Xenopus tropicalis: one gene and its partner. The protein of the gene in region 1 purifies or fractionates together with the protein of each later gene. This does not show direct contact. Links are inferred from orthologs where the notes say so. Each region holds a gene or a part of one and is shown in the gene's direction. Other genes may lie near its edges.

Region 1 (3,930 bases):
AACACTAGAGCTTCCCATACAGACACGGGTTGGGTTTTGCTTTGTACAGAGCTCGTCACATTGCTGGGACACAAATAACATTTAGAATGTAAGCTCCAGGGGGCAGGGACCTCCATCCTCTTGTCTCTTTGATTCTTAACTTATTGCAACTGTATCTTGTATTTATTTGTATTTATTGTTATACTGTGTATTTATCTATTTTAATAACCCCCTGTTGCATTCATTTATTGTTCTACTATACAGTGCTGCAGGGTCAGACTGGGGGGGTGCACTCAGTGTGTATCATTGTGTTACTGTAGCAGTTACTCAGTGTGTATCATTGTGTTACTGTAGCTGTTACTCAGTGTGTATCATTGTGTTACTGTAGCTGTTACTCAGTGTGTATCATTGTGTTACTGTAGCTGTTACTCAGTGTGTATCATTGTGTTACTGTAGCTGTTACTCAGTGTGTATCATTGTGTTACTGTAGCAGTTACTCAGTGTGTATCATTGTGTTACTGTAGCTGTTACTCAGTGTGTATCCCTGTGTTACTGTAGCAGTTACTCAGTGTGTATCATTGTGTTACTGTAGCTGTTACTCAGTGTGTATCCCTGTGTTACTGTAGCAGTTACTCAGTGTGTATCACTGTACTACAGGGTGCGTACCTGTCACTATTATAGTGAGATTGTGTATAGCAGTATAACCTACAGTATATAGTACGTACTTCAGAGAGAGAGAGACGTCCCAGTTCCCCCGGCCATGAGTTGCTATAGCTAAGCCCCAATGCCGCCCCTGTGCCCCCCACACCCGCACTCACCTTACTTTCCCTCAGTCTCCCAGTCGCTCTCAGGACTCCGGCTGCCCCGGCACAACTTCGCTCCCACACAGTCAGGACCCTGTAACCCCGCCCCCTGGGGCTGCCCGCCACACGCCTGAGCGCTCCCAATCTCCCCTCCCACTGCGCACAGTACAAACCGTTACCGAGTGTTTCAGTTTAGTTTATATGCTGTTGATTCCCGAGGGCAGAACTCTCCGGTTTGCGCCCAGGTGTGAGGTATTTCCCCACGGCCAGACAGGCAGTGCCGCGGACAGCTAAAAGCTAGTGAGGAAAAAGTTGCCCGCGGAGGTTGCGCCCTGTCAGTGTCACACCGGACAAGATGGCGGCTGCGCGGCTCGTTGGGGTTCTGGCCAGGCTCGGCGGGGCTAACAGGACAGGTACCCGGGAAAGTCTTATTTATATGGGGGTGCTATATGAAACCTCCAACTTCTGCTCTGTTGAACTGCAGAGTCCCCCCGGCTCGGCTGTCTGCGGTGGCTGATGGGTATTGTAGTTCAACAGGAGTCGGAGGGTACTGGTTTATTACATGTGGTGTTAGAGGGGGTGTGCAAGCTGGGCACAGAGGCTAATATAGGGCAGGGGGTAGTGGGGAGACAGGGCCCAGGCTGGTGTGAAGGAGAAATAATAAGCACAGAGATAGGGCAGGAGTCTGGCATTCATTTGCCTTATGGGTAATAATGCACACTGACTGACACAGTGCAAAAGTGCAGCCATTGCCACAGCAACCAGACATTGTCTTGAGCAAAAAGGCACCTGTAGCAACCAGATATTGTCTTGAGCAAAGATACGGCCGTAGCAACCAGATATTGTCTTGAGCAAAGATACAGCCGTAGCAACCAGATATTGTCTTGAGCAAAGATACAGCCGTAGCAACCAGACATTGTCTTGAGCAAAAAGGCACCTGTAGCAACCAGATATTGTCTTGAACAAAGATACAGCCGTAGCAACCAGACATTGTCTTGAGCAAAAAGGCACCTGTAGCAACCAGATATTGTCTTGAGCAAAGATACAGCCGTAGCAACCAGATATTGGCAGGTACAAGTTTGATAAAATGTAGTCAGATTGGTCGCTTTATCCAAATTGGGCCAGTGGGTATTTATTGGCAAGGTCGGCTCCTAATCTGCGCTGATTGGCTAGCCACATGCTTTGGCCTAATTAACACCACTCAAACTAATTAGCCTTTAATGACAATCCCCAGATTAACTTGCAGGGGGCCCTTGTGCACTTACGCTGGGGGGGCAATCCCCATTTATCCATTGAAAGGTGGAACCATTTTGGAAGCATTTAAAGGGGAAGCTGTCACTCACACCTGTTATAAATGTATTTACAAATCTGAGCTGTCAATCATATATTGCCTGCCCCGCCTCTATGCCTGCGGCATAGAGGCGGGGCAGGCAATATATGACTGACAGCTCAGATTTTTAATTACAATTACTTTCACTTCCCATTCAGCACTTCCTAGATATCCCCCAGATGGCAAATACATAAGATTTTGGGGGGACACAAAGCTTTGCCTTAATAACAGGGTACCCAAAATGGCGCCGGCCTGCTGGCTGTGACTGTAAATTCCAAGACTGAAGGGGGGGAAAAAAATAATTTTTAAAGTGTAAGTAAAGTTTATTTTGCTCATCTAACCTGATAGAAAAGGATTTGGAATAATTTTTAGGGTTACGGGTCCCCTTTAAATATAAAGCGTATTGAGAAGAGCCCATCTGGGCAATGTTAGGGCGCCCCAATTTATAATATACTCATTTATTCATTGAGGATTGTTCCTCTCTCATTGGTGCAACACTAAAGTGACGGGCAGGCACTCACACTGGGGACCTCTGGGTTCAGAGAGAGGCGATGTCCTTAAACAACCCTTGTTAAATTCCCCCGCTGATGCCTCGAGCTATAGAATAACCCAGCTGCTGTGTGTATGGCTAAATGGGAGTGGATAAAGCACAGGCAAATGGGAAATGATCAACTCCATTGCTTTATCCCACTGGTGTGACCTTGGGACTGGCACAGGCCCCCGATAATGAGTTGGGAAACACCTCAAACAGAATTTTCTAGTGAAGTTTCTCATTTCAATTTGGTAAAGGTATTTTTAAAAGTAGATAATGTTTGGGCTGAGCAATATCCGGCATGGATGTGGCCCTTTATCTCATGTTTAAGGGGTGCTGGGAGTTGCAGTTCAGCAACATCTTGGGATACAAGGTTAAGAAACAGTGGAATCCATATTGTTTGTTAATTGCACAAGTTACTGTCCGTTCATTGGCTGCTGTAACCCAGTGTCACAGTACCGGGCCCAATTGGGTTTTATCTGTTCAGAACAAAATGTCTCCCTCCTTCAGAACCTGATCATTGAATGCACAGTCTCCCTCTGCACCCTATTTATTGCTTTATTTGCACCCTTGCCTGTGTACCTGGGGGTGGGTACATATAGATGGTGTTTGCAGGTTTAATTGGAGTAATTGGCTGCCCACCCAGGCTCCCCTGCTGTACAGCTGAGAGACCCCCCCACACACACACCCCCAGCCTGACCACATTCCTTTAGAGACACAACAGACGGCACCGAGACTGCAGCCATTTCTATTGAATACCGTGACCTCTGTCCCACATACACGGGCAAGGTGACCCACACGGGGCAAAGCCAAGTCCCTTCTGTGTGATACATACAGAGCAGCCCCCCCCACTGAGTAATATGTGCCTAGGGCAGCCTCATTGCCCCTGGGGTACATGCACTCTCATACTAAAGATCCCCCCCCCCCGGGGGCCAGGTATTAATGTGAAGCCTGGAAAGCTGTGATTGGAATACAAATGCTCTGTATAATGATATGGCCAAACTCTTGTCCTATTAGTCAGGGCTTTCCAGTTTGAGCTCCACAGGCCTACAGTATATCTGCCCCCCCCCCCCCCAGCCATCCTAAAGACATCAGTAACCCCCCCCCCCCCCCATATACTTATATTGGGCAGTGCAGTGTGTATAAAGCTTGTGGGTTCTTCTCCTTCAGCCTCCATGCAAGTGTGCTGTATTAAAGGGGAAGTTATCTAGATGCAGGTTGCAGATTCCATGAGTTAGTAGGGGGGGTGAGATTCCCCATTGCATGTGTATCTGTTTAGTACGGTG
Region 2 (4,289 bases), about 27 Mb from region 1:
GAGGCTTGTTTCAGCAGCCCTCTACTCTAATATTAATGTAACAGCTTGCAGATTCAAACTATACTTGCCCTTTAATATTTCTTGGCAATCATTCAATAAGATTGCATTATTAAAATCTATCTATCATCTATCTATCATCTATCTATCTATCTATCTATCTATCATCTATCTATCTATCTATCTATCTATCATCTATCTATCTATCTATCTATCTATCTATCTATCATCTATCATCTATCATCTATCTATCTATCTATCATCTATCTATCTATCATCTATCTATCTATCTATCTATCATCTATCATCTATCTATCATCTATCTATCTATCATCTATCTATCTATCTATCTATCTATCTATCTATCATCTATCATCTATCATCTATCTATCATCTATCTATCTATCATCTATCTATCTATCTATCTATCATCTATCTATCATCTATCTATCTATCTATCATCTATCATCTATCTATCATCTATCTATCTATCTATCATCTATCTATCTATCTATCTATCTATCTATCTATCTATCATATATCTATCTATCTATCTATCATCTATCTATCTATCTATCTATCTATCATCTATCTATCATCTATCTATCTATCTATCTATCTATCTATCTATCTGTCTATCTATCATCTATCTATCTATCTATCTATCTATCTATCTATCTATCATCTATCTATCTATCTATCTATCTATCTATCTATCTATCATCTATCTATCTATCTATCATCTATCTATCTATCTATCTATCTATCTATCTATCATCTATCTATCTATCTATGTATCATCTATCAATCTATCTAATCACATATTTCATCCTTTGTACAAATGCACACACCCCAGCAGTCCCCACCCCCGTTTCAGTCTGTCCCAAGCAGCCAATCAGCGTGTGAGTAGAGCGCAGCCTGTGTCTGTGCCTGCTATTGGCTGCGGGCCCATGCTGGGAGTCAGTCCGCACAGGAGTAGCGGGGGAGGCGGCACAGAGCTGCGCTCGGCGAGCATCCCGGTTGCCCATAGCGGTATAAGCCTGACAGCAGGAGAAGCAGGCGGGCACTGTGGGGTCACACGGGGGAGCCCCGGGAATGCTGTCTGCCTAACGTTTCATGCAATAAAGCTGTCAGTGCGACTGGTCCCTGCGATAGTAGCATCTGTGCGAGTGGCTGAGAGCAGCAGGATGGGGATGCGTGTTGCGGCGTGATACAGAGCGTATTGACAGGCGGATCCATTACAAAGGGATCGTTTAGCCCCAATGTTAGAAGGTCAGCAGTTGCACCGAGTCGCTCTCCCCGCCGGCAGGTAGCGGTGCCCCCAGGCATCTCGGTATAAGGACAACACCCAGCAGCTTCCAGCCGACATGAGCAGCTTGTGTGGAGCAGCAATCAGCCTGCACCCCCTGCCGTGTCACTGACAGGCAGCCCCCTCAGCCCCCTCAGCCCGCACTGCTCCCAAGGATCCGACACCGAACCCAGCTCTGCCCCAACCGAACCCAACCCGCTGCCCCAGCTTGCCCCAAGCCTGACAGTGCTGGCCCCAGGCTGAGCCCGGCTGAGTGGCTCCCAGTGACCCTCTGACAGCAGTGCAGGTGGGATCCAATTCAGTTCCAGTACCAGCTTTGCTGCATTGTCCTGCTTTGTGCTTTGTTCTCTTTTGGTCTAAGCCCATTATCTACAGAAGGATCCATACCTTGGGCATGCCCTACCCCAGTTTTGCTGCATCATCTCCATCTAGGGGCTTTTGTGTGCCCCCCCTGACATATGAATGCCCCCCTCAGCGGAGGTGCTAGCCGGTGCCTCTGTTCTTTGCTCTGAGGTGCCACAAGGGACAAAGGATAAGCTGTAAGTTATTGGCTTGACTCCTGGACTGTTTATGTGGCTTCCTCTACCCTTGTGTCTTCTTCAAAACTCTCCTTTCTGTATTTGCTGGGCTCATACGCCAACCCATCCACAAAGGTAATGGAGCGGCTCTGCTGGGGTTGGTGGTGGCATCTTGGCATTTTGTGCCTTATGCACTGGGCAGCTGGAGACACTGGAAGTAAAACCAAAAGCTGCAGTGAGGTGAAGCAGGTGTACCTGGCTAAGGGCTTCAGCCTGAATGGAGCGCCACAATCGGAAATCTCAGGTGAGTTGGTCTGTTAGAGTATGGGCATGACCCAGGGACTTCCCAGAAGGGCATTTCAGCTGAGAGTCTAAACAGATATCTCTGGTCACTTCTTGTAGAGTCTCAGATTATCTTATAAGGCAGGGCAGTTGCTTTATATATCCAGGCTAGATCTAGGGGAAAAGGCAGCCCCTGGCCATGAAGGAAGCCTGCATACCTAACATGAACTACTCTCCTGCAGTGTGGGGTGTTATTCCTGGTGTGTATACTGTAAATACCCCTCAGACAGTTGTTACACAGTTAAATCTGTCCATTCTACTTGTATCTCCATTCTCCCCACAAGGGGCCCCTCGGGAGCCCTGGCTAAATGCTCTTTCCTCCCGGCTCCTGTGATTCAGCAGTGCTGGCTTTCCAGTGAAGCCCCCATAGACACGCAGGTGGGGTAGCGCTGTGTGTGCAAGCGCTGTTGCATATGGGGCTGGAATCTAGCAATGATAATAGTTAGTTTGAATGGGCAAATACCAGCAAGTAGGATGTGTCATGGTAAAGGGGTGCCTTGAGTCAAAAGAAATGAATTGCTGGGCATTAGTTATGTATTGTTGATGTTTCAGATGTCCCTTAGGGACACAGAATCCACAATTGCTTGATCATGCTGAAAATGCTACTAAATTGCTATGGGATTGAACATGCTTTTTGGGGTGCTAGTGGCCTGGATTGTCAGCTCTGCAGGCCACAAATAAATGACTTATTGGCAGAACCAACAATCCTTAATAGCTAAATCAACACTTTATATTTCCCGCTGTTGTTAAGAGATTATTCCTAAAAGGATTTGGGGCTAGTGCTGTTATACAGTGTATGTTTGTAAGGAAATAATAATAAAAAAAACACATACAAGAGTATTGTAGAAATGATACCTATATTGGCTAACAATAAAAATACATTGCAAGTTATCAGAGCTCCGAAAGCTTGCAATGTATTATTGTTAGCCAATATAGGTATCATTTCTACAATACTCTTGTATTTGTGTTTTTTCTTCTTATTTTTGACACTGGCTAACACGGCACTACAGTTTTTATTTAAGGAAATAAAGCATCACCGTATTCAGGGAAGCCAAATACCTCTTGTGCCAAATTCCATAGACACATATAAATGGACTCAGTATTAGGAAAAATGTTTGACTCAGTGCTTTTATTCGTTCTCTCCTCACATACAATATATTAAATCTATATCTCTATGTGTGTGTATTGTAATTGATACCATCTCTGAGTGCCGCTACCTGCACTGTAACTTTATCTTGTCGCTCAGATGTTGCTTGTTGCGCTTCCATGCTCAGGTGTGAATATGTTCTAGGGCACTGCCCAATAGATGTAGCACCCTGCAGGAGTGGATTAGAATGTTATATCCTTTGTACTCTGGGTTCTTGCTACTTACTGTACCCTTTGTACTCTTTGTACTGTGTACATTGTGCGGCACCAGTGTGTTTCCTATAGAAGAGATAATAGACATTTCCTTTGGAAAAGTATTTAGACCCCTCATCAATTATTTCATTACTGAGTAAGAAATACTGTGCAATACTGGCACTCAATGTTAGTTTTCAAATATTAGTGTTCATTTACAAAGGGAATAAAACTGCAGCAAAATACCATGTCTTAGCCCACAGTATTCGCTGTTCCCCCTTGTGCCTAATGCCTGCCATCGGCACAGGGTTCCACAATTTCATATTTTATAGAGCCACCTACTGCAACTATGCCAGCATTAAGGCTTTAGAATGTACTAGCTTTGCACACTATTCAGGAGGGATTTTGGCCCATTCTCCCAGGCATATTTGCCCCAGGCTGTTCAGGTTAGCTGGATAGTAAAATAGCAGATGTGGTTGAAAAACAAAATGTGCACAGGTTTAAAATGCGAGCACAAAAGAAGTGTTATGTGCCCATAGCCGAAAAGGAATTAGTAGGATCAATTTTGATGTGCAAATCCCTATTTTTTTAAATTAAAATGCAGTGTTTTACCCAGAATTCCAGGGTACTGTAATTGCACCCACCTGTAGTGCTGACTGCAAATGGCATACAATGTGGCAATAGGGGAGTGAATCAGCGGTGGCTGTTGAATAGTGCATAAGCTGCGGTGCACAGTATCAGAGATGGCATCATATCCTGCGTGCCCGTGCCCATGGTATCAATAT

The links. Proteins that work in one complex are often made in the same cells at the same time.
Region 2: the proteins of hadha (region 1) and gpc1 purify together in Homo sapiens (co-immunoprecipitation; 3 studies listed by BioGRID and IntAct, with this or other methods). This does not show direct contact. The link is inferred for Xenopus tropicalis from reciprocal best matches to the Homo sapiens genes HADHA and GPC1.

Annotation. Positions count from the first base shown.
Region 1 is NC_030681.2:154,397,451-154,401,380, reverse strand, and holds the start of hadha (trifunctional enzyme subunit alpha, mitochondrial), read left to right. Parts: upstream 1-1,130; 5' UTR 1,131-1,137; coding exon 1,138-1,195; intron 1,196-3,930. UniProt on the Homo sapiens protein: Mitochondrial trifunctional enzyme catalyzes the last three of the four reactions of the mitochondrial beta-oxidation pathway.
Region 2 is NC_030681.2:127,205,484-127,209,772, reverse strand, and holds the start of gpc1 (glypican-1 precursor), read left to right. Parts: upstream 1-1,489; 5' UTR 1,490-1,962; coding exon 1,963-2,128; intron 2,129-4,289. UniProt on the Homo sapiens protein: Cell surface proteoglycan that bears heparan sulfate. Binds, via the heparan sulfate side chains, alpha-4 (V) collagen and participates in Schwann cell myelination.